2 linked regions of the Struthio camelus genome follow. Each later gene encodes a partner of the first gene's protein in a complex. Links are inferred from orthologs where the notes say so. Each region holds a gene or a part of one and is shown on either strand. Other genes may lie near its edges. The genes, in order: CKB and ASB9.

Region 1 (12,111 bases):
AAGAGGGTAGCAAGAGAACTCTCTGAAGTTCAGGAGTCCCCCACTCCCAAACTCTTGATCCCATTAAAATCCATAGAAAAAAATCCCATTGACTTGAATAGAACAAGTATTTGTCCTCTTGTATGGCATACTTTTAAGTAAATTTAGCAAATAAATTATAATTTATTCAGCCTGTTCCACAATGCTCCTGGGAAAGTTGCAAAGAGCTATCCATTTCAGCAGTCTGTTAAATTCCAGTTGACAAGCTCTCAGAGCGTTTTGCTAAGCAGTGCCTTTTATTTCCTTCTGCTGCCTTATCCCTTGATGATTTACAATGTAAGTCAAGTGTCTGAGACAGGATAAAGGCAGTATCTGCATTAGTTCATGTATAAATTTGACTGAGTACAAGGAATAAATGGTACTCAGGCCTTCCATTTGCGATTGGGGGCGCAAAGTAATTGTCTGGGAAGTGAGCTGTGCTGCAACTGGATGGAGACAACTATTTGCAAGCTAACGCAAACACAGCTGTACTGCTTTAGGCCCGTGTTATTGAAGCTGCTTAGAGAACTACAATTAAATTTTGTTGTTTTTGAGAAGAAAACCTGGAAATTGGAAGGCTGCTTATGATACAATCTGCCATTGCCTTTCAGATGTGGCAGCCAGCAATCTAAGCTGCTGCTTGATCAATTCATGGAAGGAATTGTCTAACAAGGCAACGGTAATCCCAAAGTCAGAAGTTAGTCTATGACAGAAAGCTCTGGAAGTTTGAATTCTGGGTACTTCTTCAGTAAGAGAATTAAAAGCAGCATTATTTTTAGTTTCAGAACAATGGTTTGATGCCAGTGCTATTTTACTGCATGCGTAATAGCTCTGTCATACTTCATTATTTTCATTAAGAACTTTAATTTTAGTTCTAAATTTCTAGTCCGTTTTTGTTGATCACAACTCGTTGTAGTTTAATTTGCTCCTAAGCAGCTAGATTGATTTTTAGTTTTTCTGCTGAAATCATTGAGACTGAGAAACAAATGCATTTATGGCCAACATTTCCAAAGCTTTTAACATGCAATCATAGGTATTCACACAGCAAAAGAGAATAGCCCTGTCTGGCTTTACGGTGAAACTGTAAGAAGGGCATACTGTTAATTCAGAAATGTAAACACATTGCACTTTGTATGTGAGATAGTACAGTTAGGTTTAACCCCCTGCTATAGCTTGCACCATCTGATTATATTGATGATCTTGATCTCTCATAAATTACACTTCCAGTTCTCATTCTAGACACCATAAATGAAACACGCAGTTTTCAGTTCGCATTTACAATAATACCATTGAAAGCAGCTTGACTGCCGTCCCTTTCTTTTACAGTATTTCGACCGCAGTTATGCCAATAGGCAAGAGCAACGTCCCCACATGTCTGCAGGGACAAGGAAAGAATTACTCTCCCTTTGACCACATAAACTGGCTCCTGGTTTCTTTGCCTTCTTTTGAGCCGCCACATTTATGACAGCTCATCTCCCAGCAATGTATGCTGACATCCCAAGCGACAGCCCTCTCGGGCGCTCACCTAGCCTGTTATATTCGTACATTGGGGGGTAAATTTGGGCTCTGTCAGGGCACTCTTGCAGGAACCATTATCGCTCGGGCAGTTGCTCTGCCTCCCCCCATGGCGGACACCTACAGCCCCTAATCATTTGCCGGAAGGTGCTGGGGGGCAGCGGGAGGGCAGGGGAAGGGAGGCTGCGGCCGGGGGCCGGGAAGCCCCTATGAGCCTTCACGCTTCCTGGGACTGCACTGGCCTAGGCCCAGGTGATCCTTCGCAATCTTACAAATTAGGCCGCTAAAATGAGTCTACGTTCCCCTAAGTAACAGCAGTAATAATAAAAGCGGGGGTTGCTGCCCTCTCCCGGGGCCGAGGGCTGTCTCCTCCCCTCCGCTCGCCAGCTGAAGCCCCTCTCCCGGCGGCAGGGCAGCAGCTCAGCCCCCACCTCCTGGGCGCCCTTCGGCCAACGCGGGGACCAAGGGCCGCTCCGCGGCCGCGCCCACAGCCCGTTGATTTAAACTCTCTGTTTGCTGAGGGGGAATTAGAAGCACAAATAAAGCGGGAAGGGGGGGGGGCGCCCGATAAGCAGCGTTAACCCGTGACAGGCCCGGGCGGCGGCCGCCGCCGCGCACGCAGCGGGACGCGCCGCGACCCGGTCTCGGCCCCCGCCTCGCCTCAGGGCCTCGCCCGGGGAGCCGAGGGTCGGCGCGCCCCCAGCAGCCGCCAGCTCTCCCCCCATGCCCGGAGCCGTTACCTTCCCGGGGCTGAGCCCCCGGCCCGGCCCGGCCCGGCTCCGCTCTCCTCACACGCGCTGCCCGCCCAGCACCGCCTTCCGCCCCGGTCGCAGGCTGCTGACGCTCCCGCCTCCCCGCCGCCTCCGCCCCCGCCAGCCCTGCCCGTCCCCACAGCGCGACACCGGGGCAAACCGACTGCCCCCCTCCCGCCCCCGCCGTGAGGGCAGCGAGGCCCCCTCCCTGCTGTGTCTCCGGGCCGGAGGGACGGGCGCCTGCCGCCCTCCGCAGCCCTCGCCGAGCCGCCGGCGTGGCGGCGGCCGGGGATCGGGCTCTCGGCCCGCTCTGGGGGCTGCTGTTTGCCGCGTCCCTGAGGGAAACTTCAGCGGTCCCTCGCCCGCCGCGGAGCCTTTGGGGGTCTGGACGGCGGGAGGCGGCCGGGCTGCGCCTAAAGCTGGGCGAGCAGCCTGGCCCGGGTGGCCCCCTCCCGCTCCCCGCCTGCTTCTGGCTCCTGCCGGGAGACAGCCCCCCCCCCCCCCTGCAACCCGACGGTGGCGAGGAGAAGGTAGCGGGGGCTGGTGTTTGCCAGCCACCAAAGGAGCCCGCGGGGAACCTTCCAGAAGCCCCTTCCCCAGTAAGTGGCTTGGCCACCGCCCTGGGTGGAGCGGGACTTCCCCCGGCCCCGCCGGCTGGCGCTTCCAGAAAGTTCTGCGCGCGCTGCCTGAGGGCAGCCCGCTCCCGGGAAAGGCGCTCGAGGCCAACCAGCCTCTTCGCGCCAGCCTTTTTTTAAGGCTACGGAAAAATCCAGCAACAGAATGTGGGCTCAGAAGGAGCAGAATCGTTCTCTCAACCCCGAATAGCATGGTATTAACTCCTACATACGTCTCATGTTGCGGATTCAGATGATGTGGCGAGCTGTAGGTGCCCCGGTGGTATGGGGGACGTTGGCGGGAGGCGAGGAGGAGCAAAGGAGGGGAGTATCGCTCCATCTGCTGCCTCCGGCAAGCCCAGGCCACCTGGCATGGGAGGGGCGCCAGCAAAACAGAGAGAGCGGGTGAATCACCTCGGATGTGCAGGTGACGTCCTCATCGCGATCAGATAATGCTCCGTACCCTCCTGAATTCGCTAACCATTTATAATGCACAATACCGAGGGGGGAAAAAAAAGTCGTTCTTTCAGATGTCAAAACCGCAGTAATTGTATACTTACCCCAAAGCTGTCTAGAGGGCAATTTGTGAGTTTTGCATGGATGTGATTCCATTTGGAGATAAGGGAAGTTTGGCCCATTTGTTACCCCCAGGGAGAGCAGGAACCTGCATATTTTTTGTTACGCTATTGACCAACTATACCTGCCCATATCATAATTGCAGTAGTCTTTGTTATTTAGTTATGAAACTCTCCTTCATCTTTCTAATCTAAACATAATGTATGCAGCTTCAGAGGTTTCTTAAACGGCAAACTCCTACTCAGCTGTTTTTCTGACTGGCAAGCATGGCTCCACTGTGCCTTTAGATTTGCACCTACCATGTTTTTTTTTCTGTGTCGTTTCTTGTGTCATTGGTCGTGTTTGTCATCGCTTATATTCTTGTGTCCTTTCTCTCCCAGGATGAACTGCTGTTCAAATTACTGAGGACCTAACTGCATACAAGATCAAGACTCTCAGCAGCTCTTAATTTCCAAAGGTACTCAGCTCTGTGGAAATTATCGGTGCTTTTTCAACAGACTGCCCAACCAGTGTGAAAAAACGCAAGGACAATAATTAGGCAGATAGACTTGAGTGAGCCATTTAAATGGGCAAAGAAGTTCCATTTGGGAAGCTGAGCATCAGATGCAGCTATAACCAACTCCTTTCATCTGTTGATGTAGAACTGTTACGTTTCATTTTCAAGGGCTGTTTAGTGACAGTTTATAACCAATTTTTGTCATGTAGGCACTGGTAGCAATTCAGTTATATATAGTGAACCACTTTCTCTTGCCATTTCCTAATTTGGGATATTCTTCTGGATTCCCAAGAAGAGGTTTATCCTCTAGTTCTTCGAGTTCACCGTACGTTCACGTGAGTAATTTCAGAAGACGTGCACTAGCTAACGCTCATCTCCTCTTGCAGTTGTACACTGCACAACATTTATAATTAAGCCTCTTAGGAAGTTAGCTGCACGAAGCATGATTAACATCCCTTAATTCTTCATTGTTAAAGCTCACTACAGAGATCTCTGGAGTAGTCATCCCGCTTTTCCACCTTGAGCTGCAAAACTGCAACGTAGTGGATCAGTCAGTATGCACTAAGACATCATCCATCCTGGCAGAGAAGGTACAGACTGGTGCCTTTATCATAGTCTAACAGGCAATACAGGCTTATCTGAACGAAGTATTCACTCAGCAGATGAGCCAGATAAAATGGCTGATCAGAGTCTGTTGACACACAGCACAGCATCTATAATTGAGTCACTAGGGAAGCTGGGATGGGACACTGTGACAAAGGTAGGATCCAATTTACACACAGCTTTCAGCAAATCTGAAAATGCTGCCTGAGTAAAACCCAGTCAAGTAATGGCTACTTCTGCCATATTGCTTATTAGAAAATTTGTCAAATAATGGTGAGAAAAGGGGGACAGAGGGTGCAAAGTGTATTAAGCATGTAAATTGGATATGTTTTGATTGCGTTCTTGCCATGACCCTCTCTTTTCATGTGCCTTTCTTTTCCAGACAGCAGTTTTGCGAGGAAAACGTGTGTGCGTGTGCGTCGGAAGTGCCATAATGAATGGCACATTTAGAACACCACTAGCTTATAATAACTATAGTGACTGGTATTCCTTGCTCTGGGACTGGGAGGGAAAGAGCATATCCCATAAATAGAAATGGATCCCTGGAAATTTGATTCCTGAGGTGAGCTTGACTCCATGAATCTACAGAACAGTTATTGTAAAGAACAGTCGATTGCCTCTCTGTGTGTGGTGGGAGATTTTGGAAGAAGACAGAAGGAGCCTTCAGTACCTTCTCTGGTAAGCAAAGCATGTTGTTTGTGAAGAAATAAGTGTACTTGTAATATAGGAGTACATTCTTAATATTTTTATATTGTTCTAAGTTAAGAATAACAACTGTGACAAGTGGGTCTGATTTTGCACTTACATTCATTTCATATTTGCTCAGCAATGGCGTTATTTGCAACTTATGCTCTATTGAAGTATGAGCACTGTGTGAATACACATGACTGCTAAAAGGTTGGGGAAGATTTTGTGAGGTTAAAAAGCCAGAGGAGACACTGAGAGGATTTGTTCTTTGATCCGGGAGATAAGAAACCAGACTTGCACAGATGCAGAGCCCTTGACTTCTGGAGATTTGTATATTCAGCATCGCTGTATATCAGACCTGGAATAACTTGGAAATTTGGATGGCAGCCAAACACAGTGCATTTTTATTTGAAGCAGTCTATGTTTTTATTTTATAACGATTTCCTATATTTTTTTTTTTACCCTAAACAGTTCTGTAAACTGCTTACACTTGTCATCTGAATAAGGGTACTGGTTGTGGTGCTGAAAGAATTGTGGTGGGGAAAGAATTTCTATTGGTGTCTCCTAACATTCGCAACTCATGTCGAACAAAACAACTCTGTGACTTAGATCTGCATGCATATGGATAAATGTACTGCCCAGCTGGACAGGAGGATAAACATGGATTCTGCTGTGAGAGATACGCTTAAGAGAAAGATAAAGAAGAGCTATCGAGGTAGAAGTAAGATCAAGATAGTCATTCTTTTTTTTAATCTATTTATTTACTTATTCTTGCAAACCGTGCAATTCTCAGCTTCTCTAACTTTGGAGCAAATCCTTCTCATCGCTACAAATACACCAACAGAAGCTAACAGTGCTATTTTCATGAATTTAAGGTGAATTTTAGATGGACCAAATCCCAGCCTTTCTGCTTCTGTCTTCAATAGGAAATCAGCCACCCTCCAATACACCCCCCCCCTTTTTTTGGCACGTGACAGAGTAGGAGGCTTGCCGTGCCGTGTGTTTATTTACACAATAAACATACTTTCTTTCAAATTAAACTGTAAGATGAACCCACCGCTTCTGAGGTGGTGGAGGCTAAGCACAGAATTAAGTGGTAGATCCTTCAAATTAGACTGTAAGGTGAACCCACTACTTTCAGGTGCTGGAGGCTAAGCAGCAGGCTTACAGCCATTATCAGCAGCCTTTATCAAGTTAACAGGTCGTGCTGGTCCTGACACTACAAAGTGTCTTATTTTTAAGACAGCAGATTATCGCACCCGTTATTGAATCCTTGATCAAGGCAGAGCCCCTGAACGGCAACAAGCCTCGCACGCCGCCGCGTTGGCTAAAGGCACCGCGATTCGTGGAAAACACTTGGTTAGGGCAACGCAGCGATGAGTTTTCCTGTACGTCAGCGCGGGGAGCGAAGGAAGGCGCTGGGGCAGCCCTCGCCTCTTGGCAGCGGCGCGCGGGCCCCGCCGGCCCCCGGCGCCCACCCCCCGCCACGCGCCCACCCGCCCAACGCCTCCTGCCTCCACCAGGCCAAGCAAGATGGCGGCAACGCGGGGCCTGGCCAGCAACGGGGCGTTCGCTCCGCCCACCTCGCGGCTCGCCCAATGGAATGAATGGGCTATAAATAGCAGCCAATGGGGCGGCGGGTCCCGCTCTATATAAAAGAGGCGCGGCAGTAGCGCTGGGGCTCCACTCCGGCTAGGGCAGCGGTGGGGTGCGGGAGCGCAGGTCCTTCCTTTGGCTGCGGAGCCCTCGGTAAGTCCCGGGGTGAGCCGCGCCGTCCTGCAGCTATTTCATTTCTTATTTTTTTTAATATATAATTTTTTTTTTTATCGCGTCGCTGGGGTTGGAGCCGGTCCGGCCGCCAAGGCGTCGCGGAGGGGGAGGGAGCGCCGGCAACCGCCGGGGCTGCGGGCGAGGCGCGGGGGGCAGCGCGGCGCGGCGCGCCGGGCACGTAACCGGCGAAGAGGGAGAGAGACCTCAGGCTCCGCAGCGGCGCGGCCGCAGCCTCTCGCGGGGGCTGCCCCGGCGCCGCCGCTTCCCGCTCTACAACCGGCTTCACCCGGTATTTAGCAGGGTAGTTACATAGGCTCACCCCAGCCCGCCCCCCCCCCCCTTCCCCCACGGGGCGTCCGTTGCGTACGGGCTTGGCTAACGCTCCCCCAAGACCCGCTCCGCCGAGCGGAGAGGGCGGCGGGGCACCGCGCCGCTCACCTGCCGCGGGGCGGGGCGGGCGCTGCCCGGCGCCGCCGCCGCCGCGGAGGGGCCGCGCGACCTTGGGCGCGTCCCTTCGGCCGGGCTGCGCCCGCTGCGCGCCCGGCGGTGCCCCGAGGGGAGGGGGAAGGGGCCCTGCCTTCGCGCCTGGGCCGTGTTAGGGAGACGGGACAAGGCTTGTGAAGGTGACAATCTTTTTTTTTTTTTTTTTTTTTTAAAATCTCCTTCCTCCTGTGGAAGGTGTTGTAGCAGCAAGGTGCGTAAAAGGCACCGGTGGAACAAAAGCCAAGGTGACCTTGCCTCTGCCCGTGGCTCTCCTCCCAGGGCGGTTCTGGAGGACTGTCTCGCAGCTGGGGTGATAGGCTTCCCCTCTCTTTCCCCTAGTGTCTGCGGTAGGGTCAGACATGCCGTTCTCAAACAGCCACAACCTGCTGAAGATGAAGAACTCTGCTGAGGATGAGTACCCAGACCTGAGTGCTCACAACAATCACATGGCCAAGGTGCTGACCCTGGACCTGTACAAGAAGTTGAGGGATAAACAGACTTCCAGTGGATTTACGCTGGATGATGTCATCCAAACTGGGGTTGACAACCCAGGTAACGGCCAGAACCGTTAGAGCTGCATTAATGATCTGTTCTCCCTCGTTACTGGAAGTGCTTCTTGACAACAGCGCCCAAGGCTCTTGAGCTGCTGAGAGGCAAATCTCATAAAGCAGTGAGAGACAGCTCTAAACGCATGGCTGTGTTAAAAGAGGCCTTGTTCTGTCAGGCCATGTTCCTTGCTATGATCTGGCATATCAACTCTCAGACACTTCAATTATGTAACTGCTCTGCTAAATACTTCCAATTTGGGGAGAAAAAAAAAACACAAACTGAGTGTGCTCTAATTATAACGCAACTAGAGCGGGGGGAAGGAAAAAGCCCTGACATTATGTGGGCTTACCTAGCTGTTCTGATCTCTTCCTGTTCCAGACCGGTTATGTGATGCTCTGTAGCACTTCTTTGAAAACAGGGGGAGCAGATGTGTTTACATGTTAACATTACAGTATTTATTTTTGCTCTAGCAATATCAAAATGGCCCAACTAAATAATCAGAGACTGCCTCCTGATGAGGAGTACCCGGACCTGAGCAGCCACAACAACCACATGGCCAAAGTTCTAACCCTGGATTTATACAAGAAACTGAGAGACAGAGTCACACCCAGTGGCTTCACCCTGGATGATGTCATTCAGACTGGGGTTGATAATCCTGGTAAAATGCATTGAGAACGTTCTGTGTGAACCAGCTGAAATAACTGGTGCTTTTGAATATGGCAACTTAAACTAAGTTTGTGAAGGTGGCGTTTGAGTAGACCATAGAAATGCTGCTCTGTCTATGGCAGTATGAACCAAAAAACATCAAACAAACATGCTTGCTTACAGCAGAGCAGCATAATTGTTTGGGCATAAAGTTCTACCCAGTGGTCTAAATTAGTAAAATTGGAAGTGCTGGGCAAAATTGTCTGAAACCAAACTTGACAAATGAGCATGGCTTAATGGCAAAAGCTATGGGTTTCCATAGCACTGATTTGACTAAATGGATTAAATGTAAAATATAGGGTCTCTCCACCTGGTTCTTTAATGTAAGAATGCATTTCTAAATGACTAGTCCTACCACTAAAGAACTTGCCTGGTTAGTGCTGCTCTGGAGTACAGCAAGACATCACCCGAACTTAGCTCTTCTGACTTTATTACCGCTCCAGGCCATCCCTTCATAATGACAGTAGGATGCGTAGCTGGTGATGAAGAATCCTATGATGTGTTTAAGGAACTCTTTGATCCGGTTATTGAAGACAGGCATGGTGGCTACAAACCAACTGATGAGCACAAGACTGACTTGAATGCTGATAATCTGCAGGTATACATTTTTAATCGGTTATTGATGCCTAGTGGTCTGAGGCCTGGACACAGATGTTGGCAGTTGTGTAAAATGATTGCTCACGTTTTGCCCTTCCAGTTTCACCCTGCACAGGCTAACAAGCAATTTGTCCATTGTAATCCACAATTTAAGAGCCTGCCCGTGTGGCTGGGTAGAGCCATGCAGCTGGCGGATGAAAGGAGCTTGCTTCATGTGCTCCTGTAGTGTAGCCCTGCCAAATGTTGAATTCATGTTTTCATCAGCCATGAGCTGCTGTGGTCAAGCTTTAACAGCACTGTCCTAGGACTTGAGGGCTGTCATAAGTCTTAATACTTTTTACCATCTGATCTTGGATCTTTGAAAACAAGCGAAAAACGGAAGCTATCCTAGCGATGTCATACTATAGAATAGCCTTTGTTATGGCCAGGAGTAAGGTTTTTTACGTGCTCTTACAGATTTCAAATTTTACTGCAGACCCTAGCCAACGATGATGGTATTAGAAACTCCTAACTGTGGGTCATCTTAAACTAAAACACTCTGAATGGCAGTTGTGAATAATTCTCGCTTGCAAGAGTAAACACCTACCCAAATAACAAAGGTTTGCCTTATGTGACACCTGGATTCCAGATCTGAAGAGGGAACAAAACCCCAGATGCAGGTCTGAAGCAGACCTACAACTGTTTGTCGTCTGGTAATCCTGAGGTCTAGTACATGTTTAGTAGCCCTAGTCTGAGACCCAAAACAAGGGTTACGTTGGACAAGTATTTGAGCTCATGCTGCAGAGAGTGGTCTTGAACTAAGACATCAGCTTACAGGCCAGGTAGTCAATATCTGAAGTTTAGGGGCCGTGCTGAAATGCGTGGGAGCTACTTATATTTAGGGTAGGTATTTTGATAACAAAGTTGTACTCACTGTTTTCCTAATCTTGTAGGGTGGTGATGATCTGGATCCTAATTACGTGCTAAGTTCCCGTGTAAGAACTGGTAGGAGCATCCGTGGATTCTGTCTTCCCCCTCACTGTAGTCGAGGGGAGAGGCGGGCTATTGAAAAACTCTCTGTTGAAGGTAAGGTGAGAACTGGGTGTGCTGGGAAAGCTCCTTATATCCTTTGGGCAAGAGATGTTCTTGGTGGTTTGAGAATGGAGGCAATAAGCAAAAGTCTTCAAGACTCCTAATCTGAACCTGGAGCCTTCTCTGCAAAGGGCAGTTTGAACTGTAACTGCATCAGCATTGCCGTTTGTAGCTGAGGAAAAAGAGGACATGGCAGAGGGAAGCTGGACTATGTTAAGCTGACCTTCACCGATCCAGAAAGTTTTTTGGTTTTTTTCCTGTGTGTGTGGGGAAAGGAGTTGGTTCATCATGGCTCAAACCTGAAATGTAATAGGTATGTAGCAATGTCAGGGCTTGAGTCATGGCTACAGTTTTTTGTGGCTGCTTTTAATTGACTTTCATTAACATTCAGCTTGCTCAGAGGTATAGCCTCACTCTGCTGATTGTGCAGTTGACTGGAATAAGCTCTAGTTCTCAGTGGAACTCCTCAACTGCAGTTTTTCCTTGTTTCCTTTAAGTGAGAAGAGAGGATATACCCAAGGTCCTGTCTGGGAGACTGGCAGCGTGGCCCTTCCAAAACCGCTTTAGGGCAGGGTATCGGTCCTTGTCTAGAATAATGCAGTTTGTTATATTCATGACCCTAATTCTCCTTGGAAGCACTGCAGCTCTACAGTTAAGCAGCAGTAATGATCCTAAACTGTACATAAGGGAACAAAGGCTACTTGTACAAGCCTGGAAGGTAGAGACAAATCATCTGATACTGCTTTAAGTTCTGTAATGCTACAGGGGCATTGTCATTACAGATGAAAGCAAGGGAGGAACCCAAACCAGCAGATCAGACATTGCCGTACTTTGCATGTGATCTCTAAAGCGCTGAGACTGTCTAGCATCTTTGGCCCTGTCCTAAAAGTGATGCTCTCTTTCAGCTCTGGGTAGTCTGGAAGGTGATCTCAAGGGGAAGTACTATGCTTTGAGGAACATGACTGATGCAGAGCAGCAGCAGCTGATTGACGATCACTTCTTATTTGACAAGCCAGTTTCTCCTCTTCTGTTGGCATCTGGGATGGCACGAGACTGGCCTGATGCCAGGGGTATCTGGTGAGTATTCCTGGAAAGGAGGAGGTGTTGTGTTAGATACTTGGAAAAATATCTTGAAATATTGGTTGTAACATTGGTTCCAGTGAGTTGTATCAAAGCAAAATGGCAGCTTCTGAACTTCCCTTACCAAATCTAATGGTAAGCTTCTGTGTTATATCCTTTGGGGAACTTGCATCTGAACCAGCAGAATTTGGATGAGTGGTACCAGCTGAATGTGGTGCATAAGAATAAGCTAGTGTGGCTATAGCCAATGCCTTTCCATTCTGCACATTTTGTGAAACACCAGACGATTACAAAAACTTTAGGAAGGTAGATCACTTTCCTGTAAAGGAAATGTGCCACTGCATTCAGCTGTTGTCCCAGGAGTTTGAGCGTCTTATGGTAATAAACAAGAGCGTTGGTTTAGCTGCAGACTTCATACTGCAGATGTAATTGCTCTCTTACAGTCTCATTGCCTCTTCCTGCAAAAATTCAACCTGTAGCTTCTGATGCTTTATCTGTATGAGCGATGAGATTTTCCACTCTAGAGACTCTGTGGCATAAGTTGACTGATGCACAGGTGTGGAATGGAACGATTCTACGTGTTAGATGTGGGCCA
Region 2 (11,534 bases), on another chromosome or scaffold:
AAAGAGAGTGTTACTGCTCTTATCTCAGTGGGGAAGATGCCTCTAATCCCTCTTTTGCCACAAATTAAATACAAGAAGCCTGTGTGTGAACTTGTAGAAGTTTTCATTTTAAGTTTGTCTTGCTACCTAGGAAATCTTGGTGCTTCTGTACATCTGCAATGAGTTAAAACCACAGACCTAGGTACTACTGACACTAAGGGGTGTTTTTTACTTCTGTCAGGGTTAATTGGCTTTGATTTAGATGGCAATTTGGGAGACTCTCTTGTTAAGCACATTACCTTTCCTGAAAATTGCCAGCGTGCATAAGAGAACAATTAACTGCAGAAGTCTGTTTGGTCCCTCAACCAGGATGATGGGACGTTTTGAAGGGAAGTTTCTGTAAGGGTAACAGAAAGGAAAATAAAAACATTATGTGCTCAGAATAACTGTAAGAAAAGGAAAGCCTCTGGAAGCTTAATTTGAGGAAAAGAAATTAGGGATATGAGAACTGGAGAAGATTAAGAATTTCTTCAAGGGAAAAACCTCTTCACTCTGTGTCTGCTCACATGTTTTATAGCAGCCTTCCAAACAAAACTCAAGTATTTCCAGAAACGGCGCTGGTGATTTAGTACTCCTGAGGGCAAGCTCTAACAGATTTATTTGCCATGATTTAAAACATGATTGTCCCAGATGTTTGTCTTGCTCATCTGCTGGAAATTACTGCCTTGAAGGGGAGGCAGCAGAATGTGACACATAATCGTGTCTCAGGGCTCAAGTTTATAGGTTGGAGTATTAGTGGAAAAAAAAAAAAAATTACGAGTTTTTGAGCTAATATAATGGACTGCGCACTAAGGCGGTGGAGGCATCTATGTGCAGCCCATGCTTCCATCCCTTGCAAGGATGTGGTTAACGTCTGCTGAAAGTGGGGAATGGGGCAGGCAGCTGTGGGTAGCAACAGCTTAGACCATTGCAGCTACATCTGCCAGAGGTCTCCATCAAAAGCCTCTCCTCTGAGAGGTACTTACTCCAAAGAAATGGTCTTACAGTTCAAGGATGGGCCAACATTGGACTTAGGCCGGAGGACATAGAGGACAGAGGTCCATTCATGTTGCACATTGCCACACATACTCCTGATGCTTGCTCAGGATTCTGCAATAGCCCCTAGCTCTAGGCAAATCCTAGGCTGGGGGGCTGCATTTTGCTTATTTAAATGATTCTTTTCTGTGAAGAAGTGAAGACCTTCCATCGTAAACTGTTGCATTCAGAGGCTATGCAGTGCAGAGTGCACAACACAGTGTTGGCATGTGTGCTCAGGGCTGGGTCACTTGAATTAATTTTAGCCATACTATTAAAGTGCGTTTCGTTTGATTAAACATGCACACCCGTATCTCAGTTTGTCATCTGAGGGACAAGTTTGTCATAAAGGAATCTGTTTAAATCAGTGAAGTGCCTTTGTAGGCTCTTAAAGGCCCAATTCATATCCTCCTAAAGCAGACATCTAAATAGGTCAGATGAATCACCACCTTCAAATGCCTATTTCTCTTCATTAACTCTAAAGGAAACCTAGAGTTCCTGTTTCAGACTCTAAAGTTGAATTAAATGAACCTCATGTTTTGTGTCCAGTTTTCCAAATATTTTCTGTAATTCTGTGATTTGTATCCTATTGTGCTTGTCTAAACTTGCAAATAGTAATAAAATCTCTTCTGTGATTAATAACTGACATACACAGTTTAAAAACTGACCAGCATGTGAGAGAAGCCATCAAGGTAGTAGAGCATTTCATTGAATTATTTTTAAAAAATGCCTTTGAAGGAAAAAAATGTGGCTAGCTTATAAAATCTTTAGTAAACAGAGAAAGTAATATTGAGTATCATATACTCAGCTTTACTGTACACTTTTATCCACACAGGATGGTTGCATCTGAGTAAAGTGATTTCTGTAGCTAGATCTGTTTTTGTAAAACACAGAAATGTAGGTGCTATTTAAATGGAAAATACCGTTGTAACGACTGGTGTATCTGTATTGTGTAAGCTCTGTTTCTAATCTGTATTTGAAGTTTTGTGTGCTGCTTATCTTCAGATCCAGGTTGATGTTAAAGCATGTTCCTTTGTTGTTTGAGAATATTTTGTTTTCATCCAAAAAAAATTTGCAATCAGTCTAATTAAATGAATCAGAGCTTTCTCGCATTTTCTCAGTGCCTAGCCAGGCTCTATAAACGCTATCATAATATCCTAACCTGGGGGTGTTTTATCTAGGGAGTTATATTTATCCCGATGTTGCCATTTGGAGGAAAATGATGCTGAAAGAGGCAAATGGTCCCAGCTGATTTTGTTTGCCGGTATATTTGCCAACCAGGTCAAAGCCAATGCACTGCTTCTGTATGTATGTCCAAACTACTAGCTGAAGCAAGATGCCAAGAGACATTGTAAACTTGCCAAGTCCTTGACATAAGTTTTCTAGCTACTTGCTGCTCTAATCTGGCTGCATATCAGCATAAGGGTAACTATAACATAATTCGGAGGAGTATGACGCTTGGTCAGTGGAGAGGATGGCTACGGTCTCAGTTCTGGACGTGTCTCATCCATCCAAATGAGATGAAGGAGAGCATGGTCTCACATTGAGGTATTTCAGGGCTTGAGCTTTCCCTCTGAAGCACCCTAGAGCTCAGACTTGATCCAAGTGTGAGCACCTGCTAGCCTGTGAGCAGGGTAGCTGCATCTGATTGCAAAACGAGCCATGACTCACACTTAATTGCCACTGTAGGCATAATCAATATGGCTTTAATCCTGGGAGATAATAATGTGGTTCCTACAATGGTGGCCTTAGGAATCTCATATCCTGATTTCTTAGCCACCCATAATACAGTAGTGGGGAAAACCACAGCAAAGAGAAAGGAATGCAATTTTGCAGTCGCAGAGAAAAACTGTTTCTCTGTTTTTCACTCTGTTCTCTGAGTTGCTAATTCTACCTTGTTACTCATTGTGCCTCTACTACAAAACTTGGTTGGCAACATTTAGAACTAGATTCCTTGCAGCTGTAAATAGTACCAACCTTGTTAATGTACATGACAGAAAATTGCTGCAAGGTGAGATCTGACCAAACAGAAAAGGATTTGTTGAGGAGAAGGTGTGTGTGTGCTGGAGGGGGCCATGGTCAGATATCACATAGAGTGAATGCTAATGGTGGAGAGTCCCAGGAATCTGCTTTTTCACAAGCAACAAGAAAAATATGTATGGACCTATGTTTTGAAAATAAAGTCTCATTCATCATAAGTTATGACCACAAAACTTCACTTCTAGAAAGGATAAAGCCTAGGAACTGCCACTGTAACATCCAATTGAAAAGAGAGAGCATCAGCCTATTGTTCCTTCACCTCACAATCGGCTTGTAAATACAAGTACACCATCTTTTACCTTAGTAAGTGCAGAGAAAGCTTTTGTTCTGGGTGTCTCCTAAGATAATCACTTCTAATAAGCCCCTTAATAAGTACTTTTCCATCTCTCTCACCATATCTAGTGGTGGAAGAGACTTCTTGGTTTTAAATGAAAAAGGTGAAAGATGTATTTGGTTATATACATTTACGCACACACACAAACATATATGTATTTCCATATGTATATACATACGATGTGAAATTAATCCCTGACTTAGGCAAAGCCCCGTGCATCACCTCAGTCCTGATGGACAAAGGATCATGTGCTGGAGAGCATCTTAACTTCCCCTGCACTGGCCTAACCCTGCAAAAACTGTAACGTAAGGTAGTGATGTAGGGCTCAGGGGAGATCAAACTATATGATTCTAGTGATTGCAGCATTTCTTTCAAGTGGTAGCTTTTCCCCTGCTGTGTGTGTACAGGTAATAACCTCTTCTCATCACTGACGCATTTCTAGAATTTCCCACCTAACAGCTCAAAGTAGTCCAAAATTGGAATTGTTCTGCAAGCTTTAAGGATGCAAAGAAAGGATAAGGTGCATAGTTGAAATAAAAGGGAGTATGCTGGTTTGGGGACTTTGAGTACGAATTTGCTTAATTTTATGAACTTTTTGTAGATTTGAATTAACTGGCTGTACTATCTTCTTACCTTGTATTCCCTCTGTCACAGAGCTATAGCCAGCCAAGTGTCTAACCTTTGGTAGAATTGTTGCTAGAACTACTAACATCTGAATAAATGTTGCTCGTTCCAAAGAATGGGATGGCTACATCCCAGGTAACGGGCCCCTTTTCTCCAGTTTGGTAGCAGATAGGTATGGATAAAATATTTTCAGAATGGAACAAAAGTGGAGGCATTTCATAACAGGAACCAAAGATGTCCTGACTAAGCAAAGGCTTCAGGGCCAGCCACCAGACCGGAATCTAGTTATGCATGAATGTAGCATGATACAGAGGAGAAAGCATGATCAAAGAGTGATACTTTTGGGTGTGATCCTATAGCCCAGAAAGAAGTCCCAGTTCCTGAGGAATGGATGTGGTAACCGGGGCACACTGTCATTGTGGCTTTGCCCAGGTGCTGACCTCTCCGGTCCTGTTGGAAGTAAAGTGTGATTAAATTAGAAACTTCTTTTGTGATGTCGGTGTCTATTTTTTCCATGAAAAATAAATACACATGGACCAGGATACCAGGAGATCAGGATGAAATAGGTCTGTGGGCTATGACCCTGCCCGTTTCAGAAGGGGTAATGGAGAGAGGGAATAGCTAGAGACTTCCCAGAGCCATGGGGAGGGTTACGGGCTCATCACCCCTTTAGATGCTTTGTGCAACCTTATCCACTTCAAGAAAGACCAGATTACAGCTCATTTGTCAAGGTTAGCAGAGGTTTAGTTAACAGGAAATGACTAAACTATGTGCAACCAGTACCGTACTACTCAAATGATTACCCTATCAGCCAGCAGGTCCCTTGGTCAAAGGACCAAATGGCCAAAGTCACCCTTTTCTTGGATGGCTAGCGACTAAGGGACTTTTGTCTTGTAGGCGCTGTCTTTGTAAGGCTGAACTCAAAGGTCTTAGCTAATACTTCTTCATTTATGAGCCATATAATCACATATGTGGACACATATGCTGATCCTTTTAGTGGTGGAATAGCTGATGTGTTTGCTAATACCGCTCTGTATATGATTAAACATAAGCTGTAGCAATCTAGCCACTAATCTCAAGTGCTATTGAAAAGAAAAAAATGTTTTTGACACACTGATGGTCAGTACCAATACTTATACACCTTCCTGAATTTACATACATGTAATTTTTCCCATAACTTTTTTAACATTGGAATTGCAATGGCTCAAACACAAACATATGTGCCAGGCAGACCAAAGTGTAAGCTTGCATCAAGCATGTGTGGTCACACTCAGAAGCCAAGGGAACTGGCAGGCCTTGTCCTCACCCCTACTTCATTGGCAGTTGTGCACCAGGATGTGTCTGGGCTGCCTTCACAAGGCAGCATTTGTGAGTGATGTTGAGCTGCTGTTTATATCTATTAAAATAATGGATTTTTTTTTAAGATGTGGAAAAAAAAAATCTAAAAATGATTCCAGATCTCTTGTATGCATTATAAACAGGAATAAAAATGAATCCCAGTTGCTTAGGACTGGGAAGAGATACAAATTCATCCCCGGGGGACAAATTTAAGAAAACCCTACTTTTTATTTACATAGGTGAGATTTTACATGCAAGTCTTCCCTGCTTGTACTTGTACCCAAATGAGCAAATATTCAGGCAGAGCAAACAGATTTTGTGCTTGTGAATTATACTCATTGGGGAACAAAAAAAGAGCAAATAGAGATGATCTGTGAGGATAGGATTTATGTAAGCATTCAGAGAAATGAGGTGGAGGTCTGTTAATATTTATTTGCTGGTAGCTTCATGGTTTTTATTTTAGACTGAGAAATTGCTTAAGAATAAAAAGACAGTGCTCAGATATGAAGCTCTTGGTGTGACTATGACGCAGTGAAACTGATTGAAAAGGGTGGAAGGAAATCAGCCTGAATAATGCTGTGTTTTTCATGCTGTGGAGGCAAAAAGGACTTCCAGTGTAAAGCACAGCTCTACAAACATGTGGTTTCAATATTCTTATGGTATGTGGTGACCACTGCTCAGTAAAAGGAATTCAGCACTCCATTTCTTGCATACCGTCATGGGCTCTTCAGATAACACGAGTGGTTTTGCATACTCTGCAGTACTTAGAGAGGCACAAGGCAAAGTTGCTTGCAAACAACTCACATGAGTGGTGCAGATGAGTGCACACTGGTATCTCTCTGGGTTTTCTTTACAAATCCCCTGCAGGCAGAGTTTGCTCAACTAGTTGAACTGGCTCTTTCTGTCTTGTTTTTTTGGCAAACTAAGAATTTCCTTCCTGATAAAAACAGACAGCAGGCGTACTGATTGGGTGCAGTGTTGGAAAGGATATGACATCAGGCACGTCCCTTGCTTTGTACAGTGTGGTCTGCCTGATTGCTGGCTGCCTCCCAACTGAGTGAGGGAGGTGTTTCATTAAATCCTAACCCAGGTACTCGAGTTTCTGCATAAAGTGCTGCCGGCACCAAGTTCCAGTCTGCTGCAAGGTTTGTTTGACTTGCGCACACAGAGCCTGCTTAATAGATTACTCCCATAGGCAGGGGTTCATCGGGGAGGATGGAATTTGAACTCTCAAGAGCAACTGTGAAGTGAAAAAACAGAATTTGGACAGCCTAGGCTGAGATGGATGATGAGGGAACAAATCAAAACACCAGCAAATTGCCAGGAGCCGGAGGCCAGCCATCTGCAACTTCTCTAGCAAACCCACTGATGAGGGGTAAGTAACGCTCCTGCCTCTCCGCTAATCTTCTAGTCTGCCAGCAGAGGTGGAAGAGCGGTGGGTGGAGAGGGCAAAGTCAGGCTATAGCTGCGTGTTCCTCCTGATAGCCTGTTAACAGTGCAGGTCCATGTACAGTACCACACGTCCCCATGTTCTTGTACTTCAGATAGGCTTCTTATATGCTATTCATATTTGTAACTGAATTTGTTTGTTTGTTTTTGTGCGTGACAGAAAAGAATATCTGATTCTATAGTGCAGCTTGTATAAGCGGAAATAAATGCAGTATGTAAACCACAACAAACTGAAAAAGAAGTTGCAATGTGGCATGTTTGGCTTAGATTAGTGCCAGCTGAAAGCTCAGCATTGGCTCAGTTCCTCTTTTCTCTTCTCCATTCCCTTTCCTTCCTTTCTCTTCTCTTCTTTTCCTTTCCCTTCTCTTCTTTTCCTTTCCCTTCTCTTCCTTTCTCTTCCTTTCCCTTCCCTTCCCTTCCCTTCCCTTCCCTTCCCTTCCCTTCCCTTCCCTTCCCTTCCCTTCCCTTCCCTTCCCTTCCCTTCCCTTCCCTTCCCTGCCCTTCCCTGCCCTGCCCTGCCCTGCCCTTCCCTGCCCTGCCCTTCCTTTCCCTTTCCTTCCCCTCTCTTTTTACTTCCTTTTCCTTTTCCTTTTCCTTTTCCTTTTCCTTTTCCTTTTCCTTTTCCTTTTCCTTTTCCTTTCTTTTCCTTTTCCTTTAGGTAGACATAAATATTCTTGCAAAGGCTGAGTCAGCACTAGTGGGTACTTCCACAATGGACAGGCCATTATTCATTTGTGGTCACTGGTGAATAGTTATTTAGACAAATGACCTCACACTGATCATTGCTCTTTTGTCTGGCCTGGAGCCTGTGAAAATATGACATGGTAACAAAGGATAAGTAATTAAATTTCACATAACAATTTAGCTAGATGTGTTCCCTGTAGCTCTCTTTTCTGAGAAGCTACTCCTTCAGTTCATGGTCAGTGCAGTAGAACAAGGAGGTAAATTAAGATAATATGACTTTACACTATTCTAACTCCTTTCCTGGGCTATTCATGACTCTTCCATTCATACCGAAAAGAAAAATAGGACCATAAAAGTAAGAAGAGGCAACCTACATTGCAAAGATGTTCAGTATGTCTGCTGTGCTGTCTGCTCTCCTCATGTGGGTGTATGTATGTATATGCGGGTGTGTGAGGCTAGGGTAGGAGGGAAAGGAGAGTGTCGTTGTTATTAACAACGTGAACCAAACCAGGTCTGCACTGGAAAGGAGCTTTGGCAAAATGGTGTCAGGCTTCGTGCAGCTGGATGAGAAGTAGGGGAGTCCTCCTGCACACTGAGGAGTTGGTCGTTTGAAAATAAGAGTTCAGCTCATACCTCTTGGATTTGCCTGGTCCTAAGCAGAGCCAATAAGCTTCTCTGGTGGCTTGCAATAGGAATGTATTTGGCTCTGGCTATATATATCACAAACTTCCTGTGAAAGCCTTTCAATATGAAAAATACCATTCAGAGTACTGTTAAATACAATGCCATAAGCATATGTGTTATGCAAATATGTGTACAAGAGTGTACTCCAGCTGAAAGGATTTCAAAGCCCCTTGGGAGTAGTACCATGTGGGACCACTGCTGAAGAAAATCAGTCAGGGAACAGGCACCCAGTGTGCAGCACCATCCAGGGGCTGGATCAGAGGCTGGAAAAAGATATTTTAAACCATCACCACAGAAATGAATGCTCTTCTAGAAAGGCACTGGGAACGCGCTGTCATCTACAGGGAGCAGTCAGGACTTGCATGTTTGTGTGGTTAACAATATAAGGCTCCCTCTGTATACACTGTTGGCATTCAAATGCCCAAGTGATGGCAGTGCAATCAAATATGATCCAAAGTTTAATATAACCCCTGGGCTGGCTGGGATTTTCAGCGGTGAAAAGGGAGTTAGATATCCCAATGCCACTGAATTTGGGCTTTTGGATTTTGGACTTCTAGATGCCGAGGACCCTGATGCCTAACTTAGCATGCCTGTGGACTAAGGTGCTGGCTAAATTTCAGTATTGGATAAACTGGCTTGTTCCTGTGTGAGAGAGCACTTGTACAAATTTTTGGCAAACAGAAATTCTTGTGGCTGTGGTGGTACATACATTGAACACCACCGTCCCACATATGTACACCAGCCTTGCTCCTTTGCAGGCAGCCCTCATGGGCAGAATATTCTGAGGACTTTTATGAAAATCACTATTTCATAGTATTAAAAGTCCACGGCCAGTTAGCTTTGGCATTCGCTTAGCTTTTACTCAGAAGCTTGTAAATGGCTTAAATACTAATCATTTGTATTTCTGATGGTGTACCTACTGTGCTGCACAGAAATAGGGGTAAGATCCCAACTTCCACTTGCAGTCTCTTTCTTTCAGGTAAGAAACTCAAATTCCAGAACAGAGCAGGGATAAAATGGAAACTTTGTGATTAACCTGAGAGTGATGCCCTGGGTGCAGGAACTGGGGAAAAATGCCGCCTTCTGGAGGAGGCTGCCTCCCTGGTGTCCCTTCAGGGAGGAGGGGTTTGCTGCAGATGGAGCTGGGGCAGGAGAGATGGCAGCTGAGGCCTGTACAGTTCATGGCTGCAGAGAATTGGAACTATGTGGTAGCAATGAGGATTACAAAAGCTACTATAATTACTAAAGGCGCCTTTATAACCTGCACCCCCTGCACCTCCCCCCAGCTCATTCATCTGTTCATTTCATACACTCACTACAGCCCATGAAGCTGTATCGGGGTTTTGTCTCTTCCACCCTTTGGCCCTTCTAAATTTCAGGCTTCTCCCAAACCTCAATCACATCTGAGTTGATGAATCTTTCTGTGAATTTTCAGTTGCTCCTCAGTCCCCTATTTTGCTTCCCTTTGACTTTCATAGTCATAGGAGTGCAAGACTGGAAAAGACAACCTGCCTCATAGAGTTCACTCTCATTAGCTATTTCTATACTGCTAAATGAAAGAGACCGGAACTATTCCTGTTATTGACACCAAATGGTGTAGATTGACTTACCCTCACATCCTCGCTTGCTTAAGGCTTGTCCCCTTGAAAGCAAGCTGGCCACATCCACACTGTGGGCCTCACTTGATTACCCTGAGACATCCTTTTTATTTTATATATATATTTCCTTTTCAAAGTCTGTGAAATAATGAGGGCCATGTTACAGCTCAGCAAAGTGATATTTTCATAGCATAAAACTGAGGGGATGCATTACATGACTTTGTGGCAGGAAGGATGTTTGCGTGTACAAAGCCTGTTAGGACAGCATTGTGGAGGGAGGCTTGTGTAAGGTGAAGGGGCCCAACCTGGTGCAGCTTCGTCCATGAGCCCCTTTGGGAGTCTTCTTTGATAAGAAGTATTTCCCTGAGCTGTTCCCTGTATTATTTTGGAGTCAGCTGGAGCAAGTCAGGATAAGATGGGAAGCAAGCTCACAGTTAAGCATGTGGATGAGAAGCAGCTCAGTGCTAATTATCTTCCTGGCCCTCTTTATTTGGTAGCACAGATTTGCCTGCTAAGTCTGAATAGTCTCTCACAGTCACATACAGCAGTGGAATAGACGGCTGATTTCAAAGTGTCCACAAAACATCTAATCTGCAGGTCGCAGTCAACTGGTCACCAAACATTTTGTCAGTTCCCTGACAACAAACTTATGACCTACAGAAAAAAACTGGAGTCCACAGCTATGCTGAATGCATGCGAAGAGCAGGAAAAGGTGCTATAAGAGGAATTGATTAAATAAGACCTTGGGGTGAGGGCAGGAAAGCGACTGTGCCCATGCTCAGAGGAGTATGGGCACAACCCCTATGTCTGATGGTCCTCCTTGGTCTGCTCTTGGAGGTATGTTTCCTTCAGCTTTCAGAGCTGGTAGTCATTTTAACTGTACCCATGAGCAGGAAATACTGACCAGGGAAAAGGACCTCAGCCACTGGGTCTGCATCCTGTCTCCAGCCATGCTCAGTCTCCAGTGAACACAAAATAAAGCTTCTTTCTGGCCCCAAGGGGCATCCAGTGGTAACTTCGATTGTGCGGACGTAAGCCTATCATAAAACAAGGAATCCAGTCTTTTTTCAAACCCTCCTCCTTTCCCTTCCCTTAAGTATGTAGAAGTCACAACCAGAGACAAGGCAATGAGGAGAAAGAGTGAAAATCCTGAATCAGTTGCTTCTCTGACCATCGCTGATGACATTCCTTTCCTAAAGGCCTCATTCTGCCCACAACCCACCCCCACCTCAGGCTTCAAACCTACCCTGAGGTACTCTCCTTTGGGGAATATTTCCAGGATGTCACTGGGATTGCCGTGTGAGCCAGGAGCATGATGGACCATAAGCAGGGAAGGGTGGTTATCTTGAGAGAAGATGAAATCTTGATGTTCCTCAAGTTTGTTTGTTTTTTTAATTACTTCATTTGCATAAGAAGCACCACAGGAATCAGTCTGGTTCCCTCTTGTGATATATGTGTGACTACTAGCTTTCTGAATAGCTGCTTCTTGCCATGACCCACTATTTGATGTCTGAGAAGGGAAACACTAAAATCTTCTTGAGTCTTGTCCTTCAATAAGCCATTGTTCAGAGACAATAATACCTCTATCAGCAGAGTATGCTATGCAGATAAGCATTTTGGGGAACATCTAGTGGCTTAAAAATGGTGTACCGGAGCAGCAGCAATATCCTTTGGCCTATATGGATTACTCTAGAAGAATATACTCTACAGGCATAAAGGACTCTTGCAAG

The links.
Region 2: the proteins of CKB (region 1) and ASB9 are in contact, whole or in part, in a cryo-EM structure (PDB 6V9H), measured with the Homo sapiens proteins. The link is inferred for Struthio camelus from reciprocal best matches to the Homo sapiens genes CKB and ASB9. Residues at the interface, in NP_001814.2 of Homo sapiens: Asn63, Pro64, Gly65, His66, Pro67, Tyr68, Ile69, Thr71, Arg130, Arg132, His191, Val198, Ser199, Pro200, Leu201, Leu202, Leu226, Trp228, Glu232, Ile238, Met240, Asn286, Arg292, Gly303, Lys304, His305, Glu306, Lys319, Arg320, Gly321; in NP_001026909.1 of Homo sapiens: Leu25, Asn27, Pro28, Leu29, Met30, Gly31, Asp32, Ala33, Val34, Ser35, Asp36, Trp37, Pro39, Glu42, Ile45, His46, Trp60, Ala67, Asp68, His69, Glu75, Ala100, Asp101, Trp102, Val111, Asp133, Leu134, Ser165, His166.

Annotation. Positions count from the first base shown.
Region 1 is NC_090946.1:72,362,645-72,374,755, reverse strand, and holds the start of CKB (creatine kinase B-type), read left to right. Parts: upstream 1-6,911; 5' UTR 6,912-7,010; intron 7,011-7,853; 5' UTR 7,854-7,873; coding exon 7,874-8,066; intron 8,067-8,533; exon of another isoform or gene 8,534-8,543; coding exon of another isoform or gene 8,544-8,721; intron 8,722-9,211; coding exon 9,212-9,366; intron 9,367-10,297; coding exon 10,298-10,430; intron 10,431-11,341; coding exon 11,342-11,513; intron 11,514-12,111. UniProt on the Homo sapiens protein: Reversibly catalyzes the transfer of phosphate between ATP and various phosphogens (e.g. creatine phosphate).
Region 2 is NC_090942.1:139,579,266-139,590,799, forward strand, and holds the start of ASB9 (ankyrin repeat and SOCS box protein 9), read left to right. Parts: upstream 1-6,348; 5' UTR 6,349-6,670; coding exon 6,671-6,764; intron 6,765-11,534. UniProt on the Homo sapiens protein: Substrate-recognition component of a cullin-5-RING E3 ubiquitin-protein ligase complex (ECS complex, also named CRL5 complex), which mediates the ubiquitination and subsequent proteasomal degradation of target proteins.